Linked DNA regions of Nothobranchius furzeri. The protein of the gene in region 1 purifies or fractionates together with the protein of each later gene. This does not show direct contact. Links are inferred from orthologs where the notes say so. Each region holds a gene or a part of one and is shown on either strand. Other genes may lie near its edges.

What was found.
Region 2: the proteins of mad2l1 (region 1) and kif20a purify together in Homo sapiens (affinity purification with mass spectrometry; 4 studies listed by BioGRID and IntAct, with this or other methods). This does not show direct contact. The link is inferred for Nothobranchius furzeri from reciprocal best matches to the Homo sapiens genes MAD2L1 and KIF20A.
Region 3: the proteins of mad2l1 (region 1) and anapc4 purify together in Homo sapiens (affinity purification with western blotting; 14 studies listed by BioGRID and IntAct, with this or other methods). This does not show direct contact. The link is inferred for Nothobranchius furzeri from reciprocal best matches to the Homo sapiens genes MAD2L1 and ANAPC4.
Region 4: the proteins of mad2l1 (region 1) and anapc7 purify together in Homo sapiens (affinity purification with mass spectrometry; 3 studies listed by BioGRID and IntAct, with this or other methods). This does not show direct contact. The link is inferred for Nothobranchius furzeri from reciprocal best matches to the Homo sapiens genes MAD2L1 and ANAPC7.
Region 5: the proteins of mad2l1 (region 1) and rnf8 purify together in Homo sapiens (co-immunoprecipitation; 3 studies listed by BioGRID and IntAct, with this or other methods). This does not show direct contact. The link is inferred for Nothobranchius furzeri from reciprocal best matches to the Homo sapiens genes MAD2L1 and RNF8.
Region 6: the proteins of mad2l1 (region 1) and anapc1 purify together in Homo sapiens (affinity purification with mass spectrometry; 3 studies listed by BioGRID and IntAct, with this or other methods). This does not show direct contact. The link is inferred for Nothobranchius furzeri from reciprocal best matches to the Homo sapiens genes MAD2L1 and ANAPC1.

Annotation. Positions count from the first base shown.
Region 1 is NC_091743.1:87,157,328-87,161,575, reverse strand, and holds the start of mad2l1 (mitotic spindle assembly checkpoint protein MAD2A), read left to right. Parts: upstream 1-1,448; 5' UTR 1,449-1,585; coding exon 1,586-1,649; intron 1,650-2,915; coding exon 2,916-3,062; intron 3,063-4,248. UniProt on the Homo sapiens protein: Component of the spindle-assembly checkpoint that prevents the onset of anaphase until all chromosomes are properly aligned at the metaphase plate.
Region 2 is NC_091750.1:46,176,495-46,180,436, forward strand, and holds the start of kif20a (kinesin-like protein KIF20A), read left to right. Parts: upstream 1-1,142; 5' UTR 1,143-1,161; exon of another isoform or gene 1,162-1,243; 5' UTR 1,244-1,305; intron 1,306-3,942. UniProt on the Homo sapiens protein: Mitotic kinesin required for chromosome passenger complex (CPC)-mediated cytokinesis. Following phosphorylation by PLK1, involved in recruitment of PLK1 to the central spindle. Interacts with guanosine triphosphate (GTP)-bound forms of RAB6A and RAB6B.
Region 3 is NC_091748.1:39,288,442-39,292,591, reverse strand, and holds the start of anapc4 (anaphase-promoting complex subunit 4), read right to left. Parts: upstream 2,801-4,150; 5' UTR 2,622-2,800; intron 1,989-2,621; 5' UTR 1,981-1,988; coding exon 1,873-1,980; intron 1,791-1,872; coding exon 1,685-1,790; intron 1,616-1,684; coding exon 1,483-1,615; intron 1,400-1,482; coding exon 1,325-1,399; intron 1,247-1,324; coding exon 1,220-1,246; intron 1,135-1,219; coding exon 1,090-1,134; intron 990-1,089; coding exon 905-989; intron 686-904; coding exon 578-685; intron 504-577; coding exon 333-503; intron 1-332. UniProt on the Homo sapiens protein: Component of the anaphase promoting complex/cyclosome (APC/C), a cell cycle-regulated E3 ubiquitin ligase that controls progression through mitosis and the G1 phase of the cell cycle.
Region 4 is NC_091757.1:28,335,477-28,338,976, reverse strand, and holds part of anapc7 (anaphase-promoting complex subunit 7), read left to right. Parts: intron 1-3,382; coding exon 3,383-3,500. UniProt on the Homo sapiens protein: Component of the anaphase promoting complex/cyclosome (APC/C), a cell cycle-regulated E3 ubiquitin ligase that controls progression through mitosis and the G1 phase of the cell cycle.
Region 5 is NC_091742.1:8,358,452-8,362,709, forward strand, and holds the start of rnf8 (E3 ubiquitin-protein ligase rnf8), read left to right. Parts: upstream 1-1,458; 5' UTR 1,459-1,589; coding exon 1,590-1,712; intron 1,713-1,878; coding exon 1,879-2,007; intron 2,008-2,150; coding exon 2,151-2,593; intron 2,594-2,801; coding exon 2,802-3,009; intron 3,010-3,439; coding exon 3,440-3,502; intron 3,503-3,637; coding exon 3,638-3,727; intron 3,728-3,802; coding exon 3,803-3,910; intron 3,911-3,996; coding exon 3,997-4,201; coding exon of another isoform or gene 4,202-4,208; intron 4,209-4,258. Other genes in the region: aida (axin interactor, dorsalization-associated protein), read right to left, coding at 1-2, 84-150, 773-879. UniProt on the Homo sapiens protein: E3 ubiquitin-protein ligase that plays a key role in DNA damage signaling via 2 distinct roles: by mediating the 'Lys-63'-linked ubiquitination of histones H2A and H2AX and promoting the recruitment of DNA repair proteins at double-strand breaks (DSBs) sites, and by catalyzing 'Lys-48'-linked ubiquitination to remove target proteins from DNA damage sites.
Region 6 is NC_091752.1:26,758,761-26,762,928, forward strand, and holds the start of anapc1 (anaphase-promoting complex subunit 1), read left to right. Parts: upstream 1-1,368; 5' UTR 1,369-1,500; intron 1,501-2,640; exon of another isoform or gene 2,641-2,779; intron 2,780-3,312; 5' UTR 3,313-3,336; coding exon 3,337-3,552; intron 3,553-3,649; coding exon 3,650-3,814; intron 3,815-3,943; coding exon 3,944-3,986; intron 3,987-4,096; coding exon 4,097-4,168. UniProt on the Homo sapiens protein: Component of the anaphase promoting complex/cyclosome (APC/C), a cell cycle-regulated E3 ubiquitin ligase that controls progression through mitosis and the G1 phase of the cell cycle.

The DNA.
Region 1 (4,248 bases):
CTTAAAATCCTGTGGTACATATCCATTTACTAAGGATAGATTGATTATATCTAGAATGGGGGCAGTAACCAAAGGAAATGCTTCTTTAAATTATTTGGTTGGGATTGGAACCAAAATGCAAGTTGAAGGTTTAGATGAAGCTAATATTTTTGATAAATCTGAAAGCTCAACTGGATCAAAACGGTTCAAACACAGATGAGGTTCTACTGTTACCTCTGATGCTGCCTCACTTACTGAGGAAGAAGAAATCGCATTAGGGAGGATGCTAAAGATTTTGTTTCTAATAGAATTAATTTTACTTGTAAAAAATCCCATGAAGTCATTGCTGCTGAGGGCTAAGGGAATAGATGGCTCAGAGCTATGATTCTGTGTAAGTTTAGCAACTGTACTGAAAAGAAATGTAGGATTATTCTTATTCTCTTCAATTAGCTATGAAATATAAGCAGTTCTAGTTTGTCTAAGCTTATTTTTATAAAGCACAAGACTATTTTTCCAGGACAGGTAGGCCTCCTCATGGTGCGTAGAGCGCCATGTTCTCTCCAATTTCCTAGAGTTTTGTTTTAAAGCTCGTAAATGAGAATTAAACCAGGGAGCCAACTTCCTGTCCCTAATTACCTTCTTTTTTAAAGGGGCAACATCATCTAATGCCACACGTAAAGAGGAAGTAACATGATGAACTAAGGTATCAATTTGTGAGGGGCTAGAAATGAAAATATTGCCCTGTGCTACATGCCTCTGAGATGCTGAGGACAGTAAAGATGGAACAGTTGATTTAAAAGACGCAACTGCGTTGTCAGATAGAGACCGACTATAGTGAAATTTACTTTCATGTCTCGAGAACTCAACTCAAAGGTTATCAGAAAGTGGTCCGAGAGGACTGGATTATGTGGAAAGATCGTTATTTCCTCACACTCTATGCCATAAGTCAGCACAAGGTCTACTCCCTTCTGGCTAAACTCTTTCTCTGCCGTAGAAACTAGGGAGAGAGGTGCAGATTATTTAATCCGGCCTTCATAACAACCATTTACAACTATTTTATTTAGTCACTTGTTGGTTTGAGTCTTTACAGTGTTATAATTCTCCTGTCACAAGGTTCAGCTGTTTAAAGAGTCGGTGCAGGAAAATCCACCTCAGGACCTGCTTTTGTCCTCACACGCTTTAGCTGTTGTGTTCAGGCAGTCATTTAAACTCTCTTATAAAAAGACGGAGGTCAGACAATAAGCCGGTGACTTCATGGGAAAAACACTTTATAAGTTAAAATAAAATAACTTACATACAATAAAAACTAGATACAAGGATTAACCATCCATCCATTGTCCTCCTCCCATCTGGGCTTTGGTTGCAGACGTGACCCTGTGTGGATGAGCGGATGCAGAAAGCGGATGGCTCTACGGTTACACTTATCTACACTGCCCTCTAGGGGCATACAGATGTAAACGCAGCACTAGGGCGTGATCGGCACAAAAACGCGCATGCGCGTAGTGTCCAGCTGACACATTTTCAAAGTAGACGGCGGGTAGTTGAGTCGTACATAGAATCAGCACAAAGCTTCCTCGAGGAAAGCCAACCAGTAGCAGTTGGAAAGATGACCAGCACGCTGAAGGGAATCACTCTGAAAGGAAGTACAGAACTAGTGGCCGACTTCTTCTGTGAGTGTTCATGTCTCTGTTCCGCCTTTTGAACGCCGTTGACACGACGCGCAGCTAGCATGCTAGCGGGCCTCGGTGTGGCTCACCCAGCGTTGCAAGCTAAAGTCTGGTAAAGGGATACAAACGTGTTGCCTGAAGGTTTTTAAACAGGTCGGTGCTCTTACAGGTAGCGTTTCTGATATTTAGCATTTGGTGTAACTTTAACGTCAGTTGAACGTGTTGGAGGCAGTCCGCTCCGCTGGTGCAGAAATCCCGTTGAAAGACGAAAAAGAGCTCCGTTTACAGGTAAAACTGCACTGTTCTTGTGTGGCTTGTATGCCGAATCGATTAGAAGAGCGACATCAGTTAAATATATCGTGCTCTTATTCTACAACTTGTGTATATTCCTAGCAATCTTTGTGAAAGCTACATTTACCCGTTTAATGGACGATGTTTGGTCCAGGATGGAGTTGCTTCACACTGAAGATTCTTTACTCTTCATATTTAAATATTGCATACTTGACTCTTCCTATTCTAAACCAATCTCTGCTCACACACACACACACACACTCAGGTGCAGCAAATACAACGTACAAATGTTTTGTTTGTTCACAAAGATTTTAAAAGTTTAGCATAAAATAAGAAGGCAGGAAAACTTAAAATATGACTAAAAAATCCCTAAAGTAAAACGGGGAGTGGCCCCCTTATATCAGTTTTCTATTGGGCCATTCCCATCTGTACCAGGCCGGGTAGCCCCAGTCGGCCCCAGCCTGGCCCGGTTGATTCCACACATCCTTGCCTTAAGCCCATGTGGGCTGATTCTACCCACCAATCAGAGGCTTGCTCTAATGGAAGGTGTGAATTTGCTGTCAGCAGTGGGTGTGTTGGCCCTGGTCGGCCTGAAGCAGACCCCCTCGAGAAGAGGGCTGAGAATGAGCCTTGGTTGGCCCGGAAACATACCAGGCCACCCAGATATGTAAACAACCTACGCTACCCGGGCCGACCCGGTACAGATGGGAATGGCCCATATTTCTAGTCACAACCACCATGGTATACAAACACGTCGGTCTTCGTTCTGCAGAAACTCTTTACACTGACATGAGTCATAGGTGACTCGCTTTGCAGCACAGATGATGAGTAGACAAGCTTTAGTTTGACTGCTTGAATCAGAGATGTGCAGATGTGATTAACAGGAAACATTTCCCCCTCATTAGATCGTCTTATTCCTGTAATGAAGGGTTCTTGTGTTCTAAAACATGACGTGAAACTGCCCTCTGTTCTCCTCAGCCTTTGGCATCAACAGCATCTTGTATCAGCGGGGCATCTATCCTCCAGAGACGTTCTCCAGAGTCACACACTATGACATGAGTCTGCAGGTCACCACTGACTCCAAGCTGAAGAACTACCTGACCAACGTGGTGTCTCAGCTCAAAGGTAATTAGCTGACCGACCAACTCCGACTGGAGCTTATGCGTCCTCAAAGAGTGCCCAAACAGAGGTCAGAGGTGTGTTTGACTCGAGGGAATGCTCCTCTGTTCTTTGAGCTTTAGGCTCCACCCACATTTACCTTGTTGTTGAATCTAGGCAGCTTGGGGTCTCTACTGTAGCGTACCAAACCCAGTTGTGAAGCAGTAATGTTGTAATGGCCACGGAGAAACCGTTCGCTCTGAGACGAGCTTAGAGACGCCACCTTACATCTGCATGTGCCAACCCGCGGCCATGCTAGCTACAAATGTTTCGGTAAGCTTACCGCCGTCCGTTATTTCTGTTTATGTGGAGCTGAGAACCGACCCACTCCAAAACCAGATAACAGGTATGGGTGCCTGCAGCGGCCAAAAGGCCTCAGAAACTACCATCTGCTACTGTCTTTCCCTAATCAGTGATTTCAGCCATGTTTGCCTTTCTAACTGTAATAACTCTGCTGTATGACCCACGCCAGCATCACCTACTGTGGTGGACGTATTCATGCCTTCAAATGAGCTCATGTTGTTTTCACCTGGGCAAGAAAAACAAAATGACCAGATAATCATGACATGTCCCACCTCTTGTATTATGTCCCCCAAGCTAGACAGGTGTTGTCAAAAAAATCGATACCTAGATATAAATTGATACTAAAAGTGGTATCGATATTATAGACTATTATACACAGCCTTCTTCAAGTACACCGACACGCACGACATCCAGATGCCGTAAAGCAGCCTCCCCTTCCCAGACAAACAGAAGAAGCTGCCGCATGGCTACATTGCAATTTCCCACGCGAGTTGTCTCCGATCCAAGTTTTGTCTGCCAAATAAATAAACAAAAACATAAACATCAAATTTGGGAGGTGCTTCACAGCCCAACTTAATTAGCATACCAAATCCGGCACGTAGTTGTGTATTCACGCTTATGTGCTTAAAGGAAAACTCCCGTTTATTGCAACCCGGACTTAATTCTAGCATGCAGTACGTTTGTTTACTCACGCTGACAACTTTGGTGCTGCTTGGATTCCCCGGGGTATTTAGATCCATTAGCGAATCGCCATCAGTGTATATCCATATAACGGGAGCGGACAGGCACCCATGGTGCAGCCTCGAAATAAGACATTATCTGCACCAAAACATCTCAATGTCGAAAGTTT
Region 2 (3,942 bases), on another chromosome or scaffold:
ATGCTCCGTGTTCTCTTCCCCATGGCTAGGGATGGACTTCTTTTAGACCTCTGAATAAATAAAGTCCTGTTGTTGCCACACTTACTTTAGGGATTGTAGTGGGTAAACACATCTCACAAGTTTGTAGTCCTTGTGTTCTGTAAGTTTATTGTGTTGATTATTTTTTCCATTTTAGAACTGATGCTGCTGGCATAGATTTGTGTAAATAATAATAAAAAAACAGATAAATGTTTTTTTCTTTCCATTGTATCTTCAATATTAGTCACTGATTAAATAGTTTAAGTGTAATTAATTTAATTTCTTATCAAAGAAAAATGTTCAACTTTTAGAAAACTAAAATCTTTGCGGCAATAATAACATTATTATTTGATATGAAGTCGCTGGTTGACAAGATGTCCACAGTGATTGTAGAAAGTGTCCACTGGAACCCTCTCTACTGAAAAAAAACCCAGCATATGTTGGTTCAACATGTGATGCTAATCCTGCATGAGAGATGCTGTTAATTGGATTCTAGACCATCATGCAGACTAGCATCCATCCTGGACCAGACAGCATCCCATGCTGACTAGCGTCGTGAGCTGGACCAGCCAGCATCCAAAACACAACTTATCCTAGTTTTTTTTTTTTCTGCAGGTTTGCCTTATTAGCCATCTGATCCTTTAGGTCAGGGGTGTCAAACTCAAATTCACACTGGGCCGAAACGAAAATCTGGGACGAAGTCACGGGCAAAATATGCTTAAAGTTTAGGTGATTGTTCACATTATTGGTGATTAGTTTGACAGGTTTAAAAAATATTCTGAAATTAATGAGATGAAAAAGTGTTGACAAGTAAAAATAAAATTGTAAAAGAAGCAGGTACTTTCAGACACCTTGTTTTTGTGACATGTTTTAAATGTGTTGGAAAAAATAAAAAATTTTAGCTATGCAAAATGAACATGCTATCTTAAGTTTTTTTCAACCTAACGTCGTGTAACAGGAACTAATAAAATTCACCTGTTCGAGTACGGAGCGTTTATGTTGCGCACAACGTATTAGCCAATCAGAAGACAGCAAATTTGAGTTGTAGCCAATCAGAGACTCGTCAAGCAGGAGAAGCGCATTGTTCAAAAAACGTTACAAGTCATCGGGTAAATTCAGTCAGCTGGAGCTCAGAGAGCAACGGTACTAGATACAGACAGGTTACGCGATTAGCCACAATCTCGACGCTTTATTAGTTTGGTTTATAAATATTTTTACTTTCTAGAAGCGTTTGTTGTTCTAATCACTGGAACCCAGCCGCTAATTCCTACAAGCTTCTGCTGAAAGGTGGGTCATTCTACGGAACATGTTTACTCACGGCCGAATACTTGGGTTTTATAATCCTGACGAACCTAACCACTGTTTCTTCTGTTGTGATTGGTTAGAGTAAATGTACATGTTTTATTGTTAAACCACCACTTATACTTGTGTCTTCTGTCGTGTGCTTCACTTCTCCCATTTGTGTTTCGGCAACAAGAACGATATCAGCCATTGGACCATCCAGTTGTCGGTCTCCCACACTTCCCTGGGTCCTCCATTACTTACTTGTGTATTTAACAAGTGTGATGTGTGCTTTCAGACTAGTGATGGGATTTGTGGCTTTATCATGGGAGCCGTTCATTAGTCGGTCGTTTACGTCAAAGAGCCGTTCAAAAGACTGGCTCCTTTGAACGAAGTGAAGCCAAGAGAGGGGGATCAATAGCACTGTCTTCCTGCAGTGTCTGTGAGGGCGCACGGGGTTGATTAACGTTCCTCCCACAGATATGCATGTAAACACTTGTCTATATACATATCCATGGTTCCTCCTACATCCGTCACAGCAGTGGGTGGGGTTTGAGGGGGTGAGTTTGACCGACTTCCGGGGAGGTTTGTTAAGATGAACGGCTCTCTGCAGGGACTCGGCTCTCATCATTCACTTTGAAAACCCTTTCAAAAGATTCGATTAGTTCGTGAACGTCACATCACTATTTCAGACAGTTTTTAATCAGCATTTTTGTCACTAGGCGCCACTAAAACACACAGATTGGTCCTTAAACATGATAATTCACAACAGAAAATATGAATACAATATAATTATTTAGACAAAACAATACTCTGAAGTGTCAGCTGGTTTTCTGAGTGTTCAAGTGCTTAAGAAATGTATTTTTTGCATGCTTCTATGTGCAGATAGAAATGTGTGCCAGACAAAAAAAAAAACTGTTAGAAATGCTGTTATTGGCACTGGGGAATCAAACTTGTGTGTTTTCCTGTTTGGTTCTACACGAATCACCACATGCCCTTCTGAGCTGCTCTTTCCAGAACTGCGCTGCTCTGGGTGGCTGCATGTTGGAGTAGCTCTGTTGACTATATGCAAGTTTAGCCTTTTCTTGGACATTTTTTCTTCTAGTTTCTCAAGAAAAACAGTATTTATTTATTTTTTTATATTTTACTTTTCTGTTTCTGGTGCTGTGAAGCTTGGAGGATTTTTACTATTTTTTCACTTTTTGAGCATTTGTTATGTGTAACCATGGCAGCTAGCTGGTTTACAATCGGGAGCAGCTGATTAACATTGGAAAGGCTGAAATAATACCTCAACTGAAGCCACAAATCCCAAATGAGCTAAAAAGCAAGAAGCGTGGGTGCAGAGCGGGAGCAAAACGGAGATAGAGGAAATTCAAACCATCTCTTCCATCAATCATAATGGGCAATGTGAGATCACTGGCCAACAAGATGGAGGAACTCCAAGCCCTTTCAAGGACTCACCCAGAGGCCTGTGCAGAGCAGCTCTGTGGGATTCTGCAGCACCTCTTCAACCTCAGCCTGGCCCAGGAGAAGGTTCCAGGCCTGTGGAAGACATCCTGCCTTGTTCCAGTTCCAAAGAAAACTCGCTCATCAGTTAATGACGACTACAGACCGGTTCCCCTGACATCCCACATCATGAAGGTCCTGGAAAGATTCCTGTTGGTCCACCTGAATAAGCAAACTAGGACATATCAGGCCCCGCTGCAGTTTGCTTATCGCCATGAGTTGGAGTTGAAGATGCCATCATCCAGCTGCTTCAACCAATCCACTGTCATCTGGACAAAGCAGGCAGCACTGTGAGCGTCATGTTGTTTGATTTCTCCAGTGCATTTAACACACTCCAGCCTGATGTACTTTGCCAGAAACTCCAGAAGACACAGGTGGGGGCCTCAACTATCACCTGGATCAAAGACTACCTGACAAACAGACCACAGTTTGTGAGGCTGAAGAACTGCACATCAAACCAGGCGATCAGTAACATTGGAGCACCACAGGGGACTGTACTCTCACATTCCTTTTTACCCTGTACACCTCAGACTTCCAGTACAAATCAGAGACCTGTCATCTACAGAAATACTCGGATGACTCTGCAGTTGTCAGGTGTATCAGAGATGGACAGGAAGCTGAGTACAGAGAGCTGGTGGAGCGCTTTGTGGCATGGTGTGGAAACAATCATCTGACCTTGAACATGAACAAAACATAGGAGATGATTTTAGACTTCAGAAGAAACAGGGTGGAGTCAAACACTGTTTCCATCATGGGAGAAGAACTGGAGGTGGTTGAGGAACACAAATACCTTGGAGTTCACCTGGACAACAGACTGGACTGGAGAAAGAACAGCGAAGCCGTTTACAAGAATGGACACAGCAGACTGCACTTCTTGGGGACGCTTGGGTCCTTCAATGTCTGTAGCAAGATGCTCCAGATCTTCTACAAATCTGTTGTTGAGAGTGTAATCTCTTCAGCCATCGTCTGTTGGGGTAGCAGCATCAGAAGCAGGGACCTGAAAATGCTCAACAGCCTAATAACAAAGGCTGGTTCTGTTCTGGGGACGACTGTGGAACCGCTGGAGGAGATAATGCAAGGAAGGATTCTCCAGAGAATCAAGAAAATGATGGACAACCCTGAGCATTCTCTTCACAA
Region 3 (4,150 bases), on another chromosome or scaffold:
CGTTCATCTTGTCTTCCTGTAACGACAACCCCCCTAGCCGCTCAACCCCCACCACTGCTGTGACACCCACTCTCCGCGCGCCCTCATGGACACCGGAGGAACACGTTGCTCCCAAATACACCCCCATGGCTTCGTTCAAGGGATCTAGTCTTTTGAACTGCTCTTTAAGGTAGACGAACAACTAACGAGCAGCCGCCTTGAAAGAGCTATAAATCCCATCACTAATAAGCACACATGCTAAATTCTGCTAATTGTCCAACAAACTCACACAGCAGGCAGGAAGTGTGGTGGTCTGCCAGGAAAAACTCTGACAGGAAACAAAAACAACTGACCTGAACAAACTTAGTGAGACGATGATCCATCTGCAGGAGGATGTCCTCCCACGCTTCGCACATGCATGTGAGTGACAGGTGCAGGTACTGCATCAGGGTGGAGATGTGAGTGAACTTACGCGCCATCCTGGTGAGTTCAGGCAAACAGTCCGACAACAATCCTGTGTCCAGCTGAAACACAAGGAGGGAAGTTAGAGTTAAAGGAAAGAAAAACAAAGTGTGGAGGAGGAACGTGTCCATCTCACCTGGACGTAACAGATGTCTGCGCTGCTGTCAGCAGACTTGACTTCTGTGATGACAGACAGAGACTTGAGGTCACTCGACAGACTCAGACTGCGACATGTTCCTGAAACCTGTAGAAAGTTCATCAATTAAAGTCACAGTCAAATCCGTTAATGCCGTCTACTAAAGATTTTTGGCATAATTAGCTACTTTTTTCCTGCATTTAAATTAGAATTTTTATGATTTCAAATATCTATGCTAACTTTAGAGTCACTTAAAAACATTTTTGGTAAATTTTTTTTACAGACGACAAATGGAACAACTCATCTGAACAAACAGAGCTGCCTTACCCCATCCAGCGTTGCAATCTTGTACATCCCGTACGCATACAGCTCCACATTTCCACCATCTCCTCCAAGAACAAGTACATTTAGTCTGCATGGAGACAGCTTTCATTGGTTCCCATAAATAAAAATTCCAATATCTTAAGGATGTCCATTTGCTCCTGGCAGTAAGTGACTCTAACCATATTTACCTCACTTCTCCAAGGAGGTTGAGTATCTCATCAGACTTCTCCTCACTGTGAAACAGAAATGAATGCAGTCAGTTTCTGTTTGTGCTATACATGCCACATACATCTATGATAAAAAAAAAAGATGTCCCACCTGAAGATCTTTGAAGTTGTGCTGTAGCTGAAAACAAAAGTTTGGACAAATATCAGGCCAGTCAATCCAAAATGTCTTTTCTTGTGACAACATTTTTAATTTTACCTCTTGGGAAGAGTTGGTAATTTAGGAAGAAAAAGTTTAGATTCATCCTCTGAAGTGTAAAAGGAGCTGAGGACACTGAATCACACACAAAAAATCCTTCATATCAGCTTTGACAAGATTTCACAGAACGTGGTATGTTTGTTGAGCTTCCTGATTACCTGCTCTCCTCCATCACCTCCATCCAGTTCATACAGGTTACAGGACTCTGCACTGGAAACATGTGGAGGATCTCTGCTTTCTCAACCCCACAAAGGACAACCTGCTTGGTGTCTCCAAGACTGAAGGCCAATACTGGGGTTACAAAAAACAAATTCTCACAATTCCATTAAGACAAAAATGTGATAAAAAAAAATCCCTTACTTTTGCCATCAGGCCTCCAAGCAAGTGCGGTTATCTTCTTTCCAGTATATTCACTGGGTGGTAGGCTCCAAACCCGGTGGAAACTAGCCAAGCGATGCAGTAGCACCTGTTGAAAATCACAATAATAAACCATCCAAACAACAGGAAACAGTCACCTTGATTCAGAACAGTTAGGGATTTAAAGTCACCTCCCCAGTTGTGTTGGCCAGAGCTATCAGATCCCTCTTTGGAGACCATGCCATACAGAGGACCGGGTTTGGAAGCTGCTTCTCTCCCACTTGCCGAAAGGCAGGCATGTTGTTAGCTGAAAAAGAAAGAAAGTTTACATTCATTATTGTGTGATAAATGGCCAGCAGGGGCCTAATTACAAGGTTTAGAAGATGTACCAAGATGGGCTATTAAAAGTGAGAACAGATTCAATGAGTGATCTGTAAAACATCTAATAAACCTGTACATGCATAACAGAATAATCATCAAAAATCACATACCTTTTCAATATTTCGTTTACTATTGAATATACAACTGATTATTAAATATTAAAAATCTTTTTCTGTAAAGATAATAAATAATTGTAACAATAAAGAAAAATAGAAATGTTAGCATTTGAATACAGAGGCCCAAATGCAGAGTCAAGAATCAGTAATGAAAGAACCGAGTTATGAGCATGACGTCAGCAATAAGACACACTAAACAATACAACTCAATGCGGAGAGCAACGAGACCTTAAATTACACTGCGATGGAGACGAGCTTTGAAACATTTATGTGTTTTCTGCGTGATAACAGTAGAGTTTTCAGGGTCACAACTAAAAGAGAAAACATTGAAGTACTTAACGAGATTCAAAAACAAAAAGGGAGCTAAAGGCACAACACTTTTCCATTTCCAACTCATTTTATGAAGCATAAATTAGCCGCTCGTTAGCTGGAGCCTCACTCACCGGTTTTGCTAACAGCTGTTAGCTAGCAGGTAAAACTGATGATTCACAGCGATTATTTTAACCCGACCAGACGATAACACCAAATAAACCCAAATCGTAAATATACGAATTTAATATCTCATCGTAATATTTTCGCAGTCACTCAAACACCGCCATATTTCTACTTCCACCAATCCCTGTAGAGCAACGGCAGCCGAGAAGAGACAAACGTATTCAGAAGGGGGGGGGGGGGGGGGGAATAAAAAAAAACTCGATTCCTAAATATGTCTAGAGATTTGCACCCCATGATGGCGCCTTTGGTAAGGATTTAAAACAAATTAAAGTTAACGTTTTGGTCCTATTTTTATTTTTTAATAAATGTTATATTCTATGCAGATTAAAAAGTAGATTTAAACTTTGAGGGTTTAGGACAAAATATAAAATAAGTTTTTTCATAATGTGTTTTTGTACTTCTCTGTCAATTGAATGCATTGCTTAGAATTTGTTTGGATTTAAAAGTTAAAAGTGATCATAAAATTCAAGGTTGACTAAATTATATTAATTCCATTAGAAATATAGGAAAGTTTGCAAGGGTGGTTTCATTCTGGTGATATAAAACTATGCTAAAATATTTCAGTACTCATAAATAGATGCTGTACACATGTTATATGGAGACGTCGCCATTGGATAAAGTAGTTATTTATAAATAACACTTCATACAGAGGGTTGGGTGATGACAATTGTCAAGTAGAAATCCAAATTACTCACCAAGTGTTTGCACACGTGTGTATTGTGAGTGTATATGGAAACTCCTACTGGACTTATCAGCAGCACTTAACTGTAATCAGCAGAATGAAGAAGAGCCAGAATAGCTCAGAGAGCACAAAATGTGATGGTGGACTAGAAATAGACCAAGTGAGGCTGCATGGTGGTCATGGTTTATTCTTTCCAAGGCCCAGGATATCTGTCTCGCTTGGTGAGAAATCAGGAAATGCATGAAGTTTAACAAAAATGCTGAGCATCATTCCATATGTGTGTGCAGAATGGAATCGGACCGAATAGTGACCGGGTTCTTCAAGATCCTCATAATAATTTTGAGTTGTTTTAAAGCCATGGAGGAACCAGCTCAGTCTGAGAGGTCAATGGGTGATTATTGTGTGTTTTCAGATGTGGCCAGTTCAGATTATCATAAAAGATTACAAACATTCTGTTGTACTTGCATACAACAGCACAATTGGTGTGAAACTTAGCCATCCCAACATCCTGTGCTTTCTGTGTATAATTAACCAACACCTTGAGCTCCTTCTGTTCACCTAGACCCCCTCAGTCTTCATTGCTCCTGCCAGCAGTCTGGCTGTGTAACATGAGCTAGGGGCCAAATTTAGCCCCACTCAGAGAGCAGTTAGGGACCAGCACAGATGGGACAGCAGCCCACTGCAGAGGCAGAACGCAATTGGACCCTAAACCTGAAAGATCCTACCTGTCATCTGACCAATAAGGCTGCTCTTCTGGGGAGAGAGGCAAAGCCTCTTTTTGTTTCTTTCTCACAT
Region 4 (3,500 bases), on another chromosome or scaffold:
ATTTGATTTGATATCAAATAGCATGTTATAATTATGAAAGACCTCTTAAAATGAGCAAGCAATTGCCAGTTATTCTTCAAGTTTTATTCAAAATTAGTTTGCATAACTTCAGCACTTCAACTTTACTTCACAGTAAACAAATGCCTGTGCAAAAAATAAGTAAACAACCTGAGCTGATTTTCCCCTCGTGTGAGAATCTGCTAGCCTGCAAGCCAGACAATAACTAGGAGGATAACGCTGCGAGCGGCTTCGGCCCAAACAGAACCAGAACCGCTCACGGCGCAAACAGCTCGCCAGCTGTTTCCCTATTAACACACGTCCGTTTTAATTTCTACACTTTTTTTTCTCACACTAACAAGGATTGTCGAGAAAGCATGTTTGCTGTGGTTTTGTCAAATTATACTGATCACAAAACATTTATTTACTTTCTTTCGTTTTCCTCCGCCACTCATAAATACCCGTGTCCTCCTGCAGAAACCCCGAGGGACAACGGACATCAATAACACAATAAAAAGTCCGACGTGTTGTGTAAAAACTGCTATTTTTAGCACATTTTAAGTCCGACGTGTTGCTACCAGATGTACGGTGTGAGCTGAAACTGAGTGCTACAAACGAAAAAGTCGCACAGTGCCTGCAGAATATATAGAAATACAGGCTAAAAAGCATTATCTTGTAGAGGCTCCGAGTTCCCTTGCAGAAGTGACATTTACAGGTGCTGCAGCACGGAGGATGTGGTGTTGTAGTAGGCTAAATCCATGTTGTTACAGTATTTACACTGGACTACGTTTTCCACCTTACGACGTGAAAAATGGTTCCACAACTTTGACATTTTCTGTCTTTTTCTCACTCCACCGGGGTACAAGTTGTCCGCCATGGCTTAAGAGAAAGTTAAGTTATATTCGCTACTCGCGTGTGCAATCAGTCCAGTGGGCATGTGCGTCACTTATTTCGGTCCGGGTGAAACATGACCCCGTGCGTTTGCAAAGCCATGAATTAATTAAATATGAATTAAACGAATCCTCGAGGCAGAGAATTTGACTCGAGGATTTTTTGTACTCGAATTATTCGAGGTACTCGAGGAATCGTTTCAGCTCTAGTGCCGTACACAGGCGCCACCGGTCCCTCCGACCACCACCAGCAGACAAGGGGGTGTAAGTGTCTTGCCCAAGGACACAACGACGGCGCCAAACTGAGAGGGGTTCGAACTTGCAACCTTCCGATTACGGGGCGAGCACTTGACTCGTGCCACCGTCACCCCTGGTTCCGACTCCACTGTGTGTGACTTCTTTTGTGCATGGAGGTCGCTTTGGTGCCGTGACCCGTTCACACTGGACAGTGTTCGGTGTCGCATTTCAGTCATAATGTGAACAGCCACACAAAATAATCAGATTTACTCAAAAATTCAGAATTGAGCATCAAGACCTGCATTGTAAACGTAGCCTAAATTATTATTTCAAAAACTCTGACCAAAGTGGAGATCTGGGGATTCTGTGTTGTCAGCATACGCTTGTAGACTTAAGCCTGATTCATGCTCCTCCGTCTGCGTCAGTGCGGAGACACGCAACGCCATTATCCGTCCTTGTGGGCCTGCCGGAGAGCTCCGCAAGGACGGATTGAGTTGAGCTCTCTTTTCTAAACATCCGTCAGTCGAGGCGGGCAACGCAAGCTTGTGATTGGTCAGGACGCCGCTGTTGTTTACAGTGCCGCCATTGCAAAGAGAGCTGAGGAGAACTAGCAACAGACACGGAGCAGCTTGAAGAATACCTCGCGAAAACACTAAAAATATGAACGTTTAATTCTCCCGTGACTGGAGGAGTGAAAAGATGCGCAGCAAGTGTTTTATTTGTGGACAGAAATGACAGGAAACGTGGGTTTAGAGGTGGGGAGCGCATGAAGAGGTGGGAGAATGAGAGACAAATATGTCTGTGTTAAAAGTCTCTTATATACACAAAAAACACAATATAAACGCACTATCTTGGACCGATACATGACAGGATACCACAGAACAGCGCTACGCCCTCTGTTGTCCTGCTGGGGAATTGCTTTGCAACACTCCCCAGGAGACGGAGAAGTATGAGAGCAAAACGCTTCCGTCAATCCGTGCGTGTCTGTCCCTTGCGGAGCTGACGGAGAAGCCTGAACCAGGCTTTAGAGTTTTAGGCTTTGCAGTGTCACTGCTCCCTACTAAATGACTGACATCACAAGTGTGACTTGCGTTTACACTCGTTTGTTTTAAAAAGCTCAAATGCTGCTCTATGTAGAAGACCACAGGCAAAAGTCAACAGGACAGCTATTGTCCACCACCTAATTATTCTTCATCCAAACAATGTTTTTTTTTTCTTGGGGAGGCGGGACTACTACCATCTACAGGCTTAGCATTCCTATGAATGTAATGGACTTTTTTTGCTGTAACTAGGGACGTCCTGTTCCGATATCGATATCAGCCCAAAAACACTATCAGATTATATTGGACTGCATGAAAAATCTCCGACATAAGCCGTCCGTTTCACTTTAAATTTCCTTCCAGCAATTCTATCCAGCAGCTCCCAGATCCAGCATGCAAAGTCAGCGTGGTCAGAGCGTGCATGCTAGCAAAGTAGCAGGGAGCAATGGCAACTGTGCGGCAGTCGTGTTTGTTAAAGTCCACAGAAGACGGTGTAACTCAGTGCAACATTTGCCATGCACAAGTTTCCCATGGTGGAACAGGACCAGCAAAGTTTAATACCTCATTGCACGTTTGAAGCAGCATCACAAAACACTGCATGAGAATTTTCACCGTTGAAACTTTGGACACTCAACTTGTAGCAGTTGGTAAAATGTGGGTTTTTTTTTCCTGATGTTCCTGCCCCAACTCTTCCCACCATTTGCTGACACTAAAACATAACTGAAGTGACCCTGAATTAGTATTTTGTACTTTAAAAATATATCTTTAGTTTATGTGTTTACTTAAAATATTTTTCAGTCTTTTAATTTATTTCTTTTTTTATTCATTTGTTACACGTTATGTTTAAGGTTTACGTTTATGAAACCAATGGTTAAAAAAATAGTAATTTCTTTCATACTCACTGTTGCTGGCTCTTGTTCTCCGATTGAGTAATATCTCACGATCAAGCCTTTCATACGTTCCACACTATGAAATAGGTAAAAGTATGTGTGATATGTGCTGTTATCAAGTCGGATTGGTATCAGTCAATACCGGTATCGTATCAGAAGTGAGAAAGGACATCCCTAGCTGCGGAGTGGATCCAGGGTTTTCCCTAGATGGGCGGGGATGATGTTCGGTTTTAAAAACAACCAGACTACACATTTCCATGGCTTCAGGGACTGAATTTGCTTCTTAATTCTCGTTCCTTTAAAATGAAACAAACACATTTTTCTTCAGTTCCCTGGAAAAGAAATCCCTTCTGCGGGACAACGTGGACCTCCTGGTGAGCCTGGCAGACGTTTATTTTAAAGCCGGGGACACTAAGAATGCTATTCTCAAATTTGAACAAGCGCAG
Region 5 (4,258 bases), on another chromosome or scaffold:
TTCTGAATGTCCAGAAAGAAACAAGATGCTGTGATTTGAAGCAAAGCAGGCGAGTTTAGCCTGCAGACTGATGCAATTATTACCTTCTGCTCTTCTGTGAAATCTGATGAATTTGAATTTTGGACCTCTTTCTGCAGCTGCCTTGCTAATCTGGATTAACGAGAACAGTTAGATGGGTTAATCAATCAATTCCAAGACGATTTGTCACATCAGTGGGCTGTTCTGCGCCCCCTTTTGGTCAACGTGGGACACTGTCAAGTCATCTATCTGCACTAAAGAAATCTAAAACGTGTCATTAAAATGAATTATTACATAAACATGATCACATCCTGAAATAACTTGCGGAGTCTGATCTCCTCAGAGAACAAGAGAGCTTTCCTCACTGAACACACGAAACCCACCCATAACAATGAGAGGGTGTGGCTGACTGTTTCCCAACACTCTAAGGAATATTGGTTATTCTCTTCTCCTAACGCTCAGAAACAAGACATTCAGCTTTGGGTGTTTCTTTTTGTTCTTCTCCCCTCTGTGAATGAAGATGGGATGGGACTCCGCTGCCTCTGCAACAATGCCACATCACGTCATGGATGGGAAGGGTTTATTTACTGCTGTGGGGGCTGACTGACAGCTCCGAGGCTAACTTCTGCAGGTTTAAGAGCTGACAAGCTTTAAGACAGCAAAAAAATAAAAAGCTAAACAAGCCGTCCTCGCTGTTCCAGATGTTTACACTCAATCGTACAAAAATAAGACACACATGTTGAATGTAACTCACATTTGGTACTCGTCTATAGCCTCTACCAATTGTCCCCACGAGTCAAAGTCTGTGCCTTTCTTGAAACTGGCGTGCCATTTCTGAATAGTCTTGTTGACATCAGACATTTTGGCGGGGCGGATACTCGCGGCGCTCTCAGGGCAGCATAGCCGAGGTGGAGATTTATTTACGCAGCTTCGGCAGCCTGGTTATCTCCCGTCCAGACATACGCGGATAAGACCGGTGACACACGGACCAAGCCCTTTCTGCCTGTTCAACACTGGGACTTCCGGTGCAGACAGGAAGTCCCGCCCCGGGGTTAGGTGCACTCGTTTTAGGGTGCTGGGTTGCCTGACTGAGAACAAATCACAACAACAAAGTGCTCTAATTTGAATTTTCGATAAAAAAAATTCATTGCTTTAAAAAAAATTTAAACTTCATAAAGCAAAAATATATTTAATATATTAAAATATTTATCATCCAAAATACTAGCATTTACTTTTTAACGTTACTTTCATGTTTAAAAATGTCAATAAATAAAGAGTAACGTATCCCAGAAACCTATTCTATTCATACTTTTTTATTTATTTTGCCTTGTTCAAAAGATTTACAACACGTGATACGTGCCGTTATACAAGAAATAATAAATAAAACATTGATATTTATTTTAGCAGTTTCCCGTCGCTTTTATTTCGAAATGAATTGTACCGTTTTCCGGTGTCTCCCGGATCGCTACCGCGTTAGCATGTAGCAGTTATGTGACGGAAGACACACATCGACATATACATATAAGACACAACAACAGCGGAGTGTTTGGCCTGTGACAGAATGGCTTAACATGGATAGTGCAACGGCGGATTCATGTTCGGCTGAGGACGGTGAATGTTCGGACTCGGAGGTCTTGTGTCTGATGAGAGTCGGAAAAAAATCAGACTGGCTTCGTTTGTTCGAAAAGGCAGAGGTACAGTTTGCTAATGTTAGCTTAACTAAAAAAAATCATTTTCAGGATTGTGCTATGTATACATACAATAGGCATGCCATTTTATTCATTAAGTTTTTTCTAACGGCGTAGTGGACCCTGTTTATATGGAAAAACTGTAAATTGACGTTTGTTTTTGACTGCTCAGATCACTGTTGGACGTGGTTTGGATGTCACCTACCAGCTGCTGTCTTCAAGTAGTCCTCTCATGATCTCCAGACTGCACTGTGCCTTCAGACAGATAGAAGACGGTCACTGGACAGTGGTAGACAAAAAGGTAGCCTTATTTCTTGAGCTAACTCTCCTAAAATTGATCTCTAACAGATGATGGGGCTATTATTAACAGCAGCAGCTAATACCAAGTTAAATCTTAGTAAATAAGTTATTATTATTATTATTATTATTAATTATCTTCCACAGAGTCTCAATGGTGTCTGGGTGAACGGAAATCGGATTTCTGCCGATGAACCTTACCTGCTCAAACTTGGAGACTCGATCCGACTTGGAGTTCCTTTATCAGGAACCAAAGTAGAATTTGATTACATCCTCATCCGGCGACTGCTCAGAAACATTCAGCCGTACCTGGCAAAGGCATGTAGAACTTGGGCTAAAGAGCCGCAAGTCTCCAAAAAATCCAAAAGGAAGTTGACTGTGGAGGAAGTCGAGCCTTCTACATCAAAGCCTAAGCTGTACCGCTGCGATTCAGAAGGGAAATCTTTTGCAAAACCCTGTCCTCTGTCTGCGGTGAAATGCCAGCAGCGGCTCAGTAACACACACCTGGAGGAGACGGCATCCAGCACACAAAAACAAGAGCAGCACTCTGATGGATCCAGTGATCCTTGTGAAGTGGACAACCTGCAGAGGTAAAGTGTGACTCCTCGTAAAAAAGGTTCTCAATCAAACCAAAGACACTGCTCCTTTACAAGCTTTTATTTAATACATTTGCTGAATTATGTGTCACATATTCAAACAGACTCCTCTCTACTTTTAATGAAAATAATACTCTTTAGGAGTTGTCCATTCTGATGTTCTGTTGTGTAAAAGTTGTAAATATTAATGTATAACCTGCAGGTACAGCCAGAATCTCCTGCTGTTACGGGAGCAGGTGGATGACACCCAGAAGCAGGTATCATCTCTTGGAGGAGAACCCAGGCGGGCAGATCCTCTCCGACGGGAGCAGGTCCGTGAGCTGCAGGGTCAACTGGAAACCCTTAGAGCCAAAATGTGTCAAATGAAGACTTTAGAGAGAACCTTCAGTAAAACAAGGAGACAGTTGGAGGTCAGGAGTGTTGTTTTTTTTTCTTTTTGAAACATCGTTACATTTTCATTCCCCCAACCCGCAATTGCTTTATTTTACAGCGTTAGTTTAACTTTTAATTCTCCACATTTCAAAATGATTCAGCCATACTTTAAATAATCTTGGTAACGTTGCAAAAAAAAGATCTTAAACATAACAAAACCTGTTAAAGAGCTACATTTCTGCATCATATTCCATATCGATATTAATATTCCAGAGCATATTAATATTGAGCATCTTTTTTGGGGTTTCAAACAAAAGCGCCACATATGGAAAGTAACACGTTCCTCACCCTTCTTGTTCTGACATATGTGAATCAAAAGGTTCATCTGCATTTACAATTAGAAAAATATATATGTCCATAAAAATAAAGTTTCAATTTAAGTGAATCGTCTGTCTTTTATGCGTTTAGGAGCAGAAAACACAGCAGCAAGAGGAGCTAATGAAAAAACAACTTGAAGAGGCTCTTCAGGAAGTAAGAAGGTTCAATTAAACTAATTAAAAGCTGTTAACACATTTAATTTAAACTAACAGTTTTTTAGTTTATTTCTTTAAGTTTTTGATTAAATGTAATAAAAAGTTTTTTTGTGCCTGTTTTTTCAACAAACAGCAAAAGAAAGTGATCGACGAGCTTGCCGACTCTCGAAAAACATTTGAAGAAATCCTCTCTGCGAAAAACAAAGAACTAGAAGAAACAAAGGTGCCTGAAAGACACTTTTTAAAACACACATTTTTACCTTGGTTGTCACTTTGATTCATATTTTTTTTCCTCCAGGAGGAAAAAGAAAAGGCGAAAGCCCAAAAGGAGGAGGTAGTAACACAAGTCACAGAGGTTCTGGAGAACGAGCTCCAGTGCATCATCTGCTCAGAGCTCTTCATCGAGGTAGAGCCAGGAACCTGTTTGGGATCATCTTACTCACAAAAACCCGACTTCACCTGCTGAAATTAAAAAAAAATGTCCCTGTACAGGCGGTCATCCTGAACTGTGCTCACAGCTTCTGCTGTTACTGCATCAAGTTGTGGCGCAAGAAGAAAAACGAGTGTCCCATCTGTAGACAGGCTATCGAGTCCCAGACCCGGTGTCTGGCCCTGGACAACTGCATCAACCGTATGGTGGAGAACCTGAGCCTGGACATGAAGGCCCGGCGGCAGACGCTCATCACTGAAAGGAAAGGTGAGAGGTGTGTTCTCATCATCCACGCCAAACTCATAGAAATGAATCATCCATCTT
Region 6 (4,168 bases), on another chromosome or scaffold:
TAAGACTTCAAGCTACTGCAGCGTTTTTCTGTTAAAAATGCTGCTGCAGCTGACAGTCCCCTGCAAAGTTTCTTCAGAAACTTTTCTAGTTGTTTGTGTTACAGACTTGTGGGTCTCCTTAAGGCTGATCGGGGCATTTTACCTCTGCTGCAGCTGATGGATTGAGGTAATGTGGACCTATGAACCGTCTACAGGTGGTTCAGAATGCCTGTGCTCGGCTTCTGACCAAGTCCTCCAAACACACCCACATCACCCCGCTTCTCCTCCAGCTTCACTGGCTGCCAGTCAACTTCAGGGTTCATTTCAAGATCCTGGTTCTGGTCTATAGGGCCTTACATGGACAAGCACCATCTTATATTGGTGATCTTCTTAGTGCCTACACCCCCAGCAGGTCCCTGAGGTCCAGTGATCAAAGCCTACTGGTTGTGCAGCACACCAGGCTAAAGACCAAAGGTGACAGATCATTTGCTGCTGTGGCCCTCAGACTCTGGAACTCTCTCTCCCTGAACCTGAGATCAGTGGACTCAGTGGTCTCCTTTAAAAACCAGTGGAAAACTCACCTGTTCAAGCTGGTTTTGGTATGACCGTCATCACCCTCTCATTGTTCTGCTTTCCCTACCTATTCCACCTTCCTCAGGATCCACTGATCTCCCTCTTTCCTATTCACTCTCTCTCTTTCTTTACATTTTTTATCACAATTGTCTATTTTTTGCTCATTTAAAATATATTTCTAATTATTTTCTAAATTATTTTTTATTGTAGCGTTATGAATATGCCATTTCTGCCCTTAACAGCTGCCCTTTGACACAGTGACAGTGTGCATAAGTTGCCAAGGTCGTGCGCTTGCTTGTGATGTTTACATTCCAGCAAAGAAGACAGAAGAAGGACGAAGAATGCTTTTCATTAGTTAATCAAAGAACTTTATTTCTAATAAAGCTAATCAAAACAACTGTTGGTCAATAATAATCAGGTGACTGATCTGTGAAATCACAATGTTATGATTTGTGTTTAATGAATAACAGGACTTTGGACTAACTGAGCTAGACATCCTGATCCACATAAGGTAAACACATGACACATTGTTCACTCATCCAATCAGAACTTCCTTTCTGATGTGTGGCAGAGCTCTGTGGTGTTTAGTTAATCTGTCCACTCCGATTCGCTAAGAATCATAAACAACTGAGCTTAGTAAAAGAGAACAACGCCATTTTAATTTAGTTCCATCGCAAGTTTCAACGTAGTTCCAACGTGAGTTCAACCAGCTCTCAAATCCATCTGATGTACATCATCGCTAAGTGAAGTACAGGCTGGCCAGTTGTATTTTCTACTTTTAAGCTGAGAACTGTCAAGCTGGAAAACTATGTGACGCTGAAATCTGCCGTTGTACCGGGAGACTTGCCATAGACTGGTTTGTTGTGCTGCCGACGCTGTTTCACCAGTTCCAGCACCAAGGAGGGTTGAGGACCTGGCATCTGGATCTAACACGGAGGTCTTCGCACGGTACGTAGATCGGCATAGATAGCGTCTCATGTCTTCCTCCTGAAGTCCATCGTCGATCAGTTAGGGCAACAACAACTCGCACTCAGACTCGCTTTCACCAGATGGAGGTTCTGAACTGACACACACACACACCAACACTTCAGCTTACATCCATCTGCATCCATCATTAGAGAGTTAGTCCTGGTGACTGTTTCGAATAATTATAAAATAAATATTCTTAAACGTCCCAGCTCTTTCTCTCTTCTTGTCTCTAATTCAATACAAGGTGTTTGAATAAAATCCCCTGTGGTAAAAACAACCTCTTCTGATTCTAAGGGCCCGGTCCAAAGATTAATGATCCAGCTCAGGTTTGAATCAGTGATATCTCTGGACCTTAATAAAAGTGTAAGAATATACCAATTATATTCCGCTACATTATATTTTACTTTTTTTTGTGAAGCGCTTCGTGATTTTTATCTTGAGAGGCGCTATAGAAAAGATATTTTCTTCTTCTTCTTCTTCTTCTTCTTCTTCTTCTTCTTCTTCAGCTTGACTGATTTCTAACCTTTGTATGTACATTAAGTCAACTCATTCAAACCATATAATTTCTAATCTGATTTTCACCCACCAGAATGCTAATTTTTGTTTTTATATGTTTGTCTGGTTTTATTTTTTAATTCAATACATTATTAACCAGGTATCTTTTTCTTTTGTTACGGCCATTTTAGCCGGGTACAAACCAGCAATATGTATTATTTGTCAAACACAATATCCCTACGTATTGATGGTTGGAAATCATAGTTATTAAACACATTTGTCTTTATTTTTACCATTGTAATTTAATTACCCCAAAATCTTAAAAACAAATTTGACTTATCGATGAAAAATCGATTTGTTTGTGTGGTATGAACTATACATTAATTGGTTTTGTATTTTTAGACAAGTTAAGGGACTTCACTATTAATGTTTTACAAAACAGACTCACAAAGTAAAGAAAAAATACACAAAAGTCTCTGGTCGAGCACAGTCGAACACAGACCGTCCTGATCACGACAGCCAATCAGCTCCCAGTACGTAAATTTGTCGTTGCTTATTGGCTGAGCCGTGGAGGAAAAGGCTGGCTGGACAGCAAAGATGTCCGCGGTCATTTGAAAACCTGTTGTAGCCAAATCATTATTTTGCCAGCTTTATCGACTCGTTTTGTCTGTACGCAGCGGTCACACCGTTGTGCTCAAACAAGCCTTACAAAAATAAAAGACGAGGACTCCGCGACAAGAGCCAGACTATTCCTTATTATCAGGCAAGCGAATAAATATGTCCCTGTATTGTTAATGCTAATGCTAGCTAACACGCTATCTAGCAATTAACAGTGGTTCTATATGAGGGATTAGCTATAGCATGCTAATGTTTGGTTACTTCCAGCTGTATAATAAAAAGAGAGCTTTGCTTAAGGCTGCTAAAATAACCTATCGAACCTATTATGAACAGACGCGTAGCTTCTGAAACTATCGTTGACTACAACGATCGTAACAATCTTTAATAGAGAAGTGATGACTTAATTCGTGCTATTCTGCAATTGACTGTACTTATAGAATCTTAATTAAGAATAAATAAAATTATAATACAGTATTTAAAGACATTAACTGTTGCCAGAGTTCTTATTTAAAATTTAACATGTTTTCAGGTCTGAATAGGAGAAAATGCTATTTTAACTGTTCTGTCTAAATTGTATTCATGTCTTCCACACATGATTCAGTCTGTCTATCTGTCTAGAGAGATAGATTTGTGTGTGTGTCTTTCTAATTATTTATCTTTATTCTTATTTTGCCACAGAAATAATGCTGAAATCTGTAACTCATGTCGGAAGTCGTGTATGAAGAGACAGCCACGATGATTGCCGCAGGGGAATTGCAGTCGTTTGTCCCGTTTGGCCGCGAGCACTGCAGGAACCATCCAAATGCCTTCAACCTGCAGCTTCGAGAGCTCCAGCCAGCCTCTGAGCTCTGGTCATCTGATGGTGCTGCTGGCCTGGTAGGGTCTCTGCAGGAAGTCAGTCTGCAGGAGAGAGAGAGGGTGAGATTGCATGATCTTTGAGCGTTAATTTGAAATGTGCCATGTTTATTGTTTAGTAGTTCTTTGGTTCACACTAATGAATGGCGTTTAATTGAAGGAATGGTGGCAGCTAAGGAAGGGATGCACGGGAGTCAAAGAAGAGGAGGTCATGTTTGAAGAAGAGCTTTATGCGGCTGGAAACGTGGTTGTTTGGAGTCAAGGCAGCCGGACACAAGCCTCTAGTGTGTACAAGGCTTTCACTGTTGACAGTCCAGTGCAGCAGGTTGGCAAATATGAAAGCCAAATATCAATTTCTGTTTAGAAAATATAAATTTTAATTGTTAAATTCAAAGCTCAATGAAATCTCATGGTTTCTTTCCCGGTCTTGACACAATCTTGTTTTTTTCTGAAGGCTTTATGGTGCAACTTTGCTGTTCTTCAAAACAACAATGACGGTACAGTAATATTTAAGACCGTTTGTTGTCGGCTAGTAAGAATTGCTGCAGCTCTACCTTTCTATCTTTATTGAAATGACTACATGCTTTTAATTGTTGTCTTTTTGCAGAAGAAGTGGAGCAGACGATTTGTATTGTCCAGAGCAGCTGTATTAATGTTCACACTGTGACTGGGAAAGATT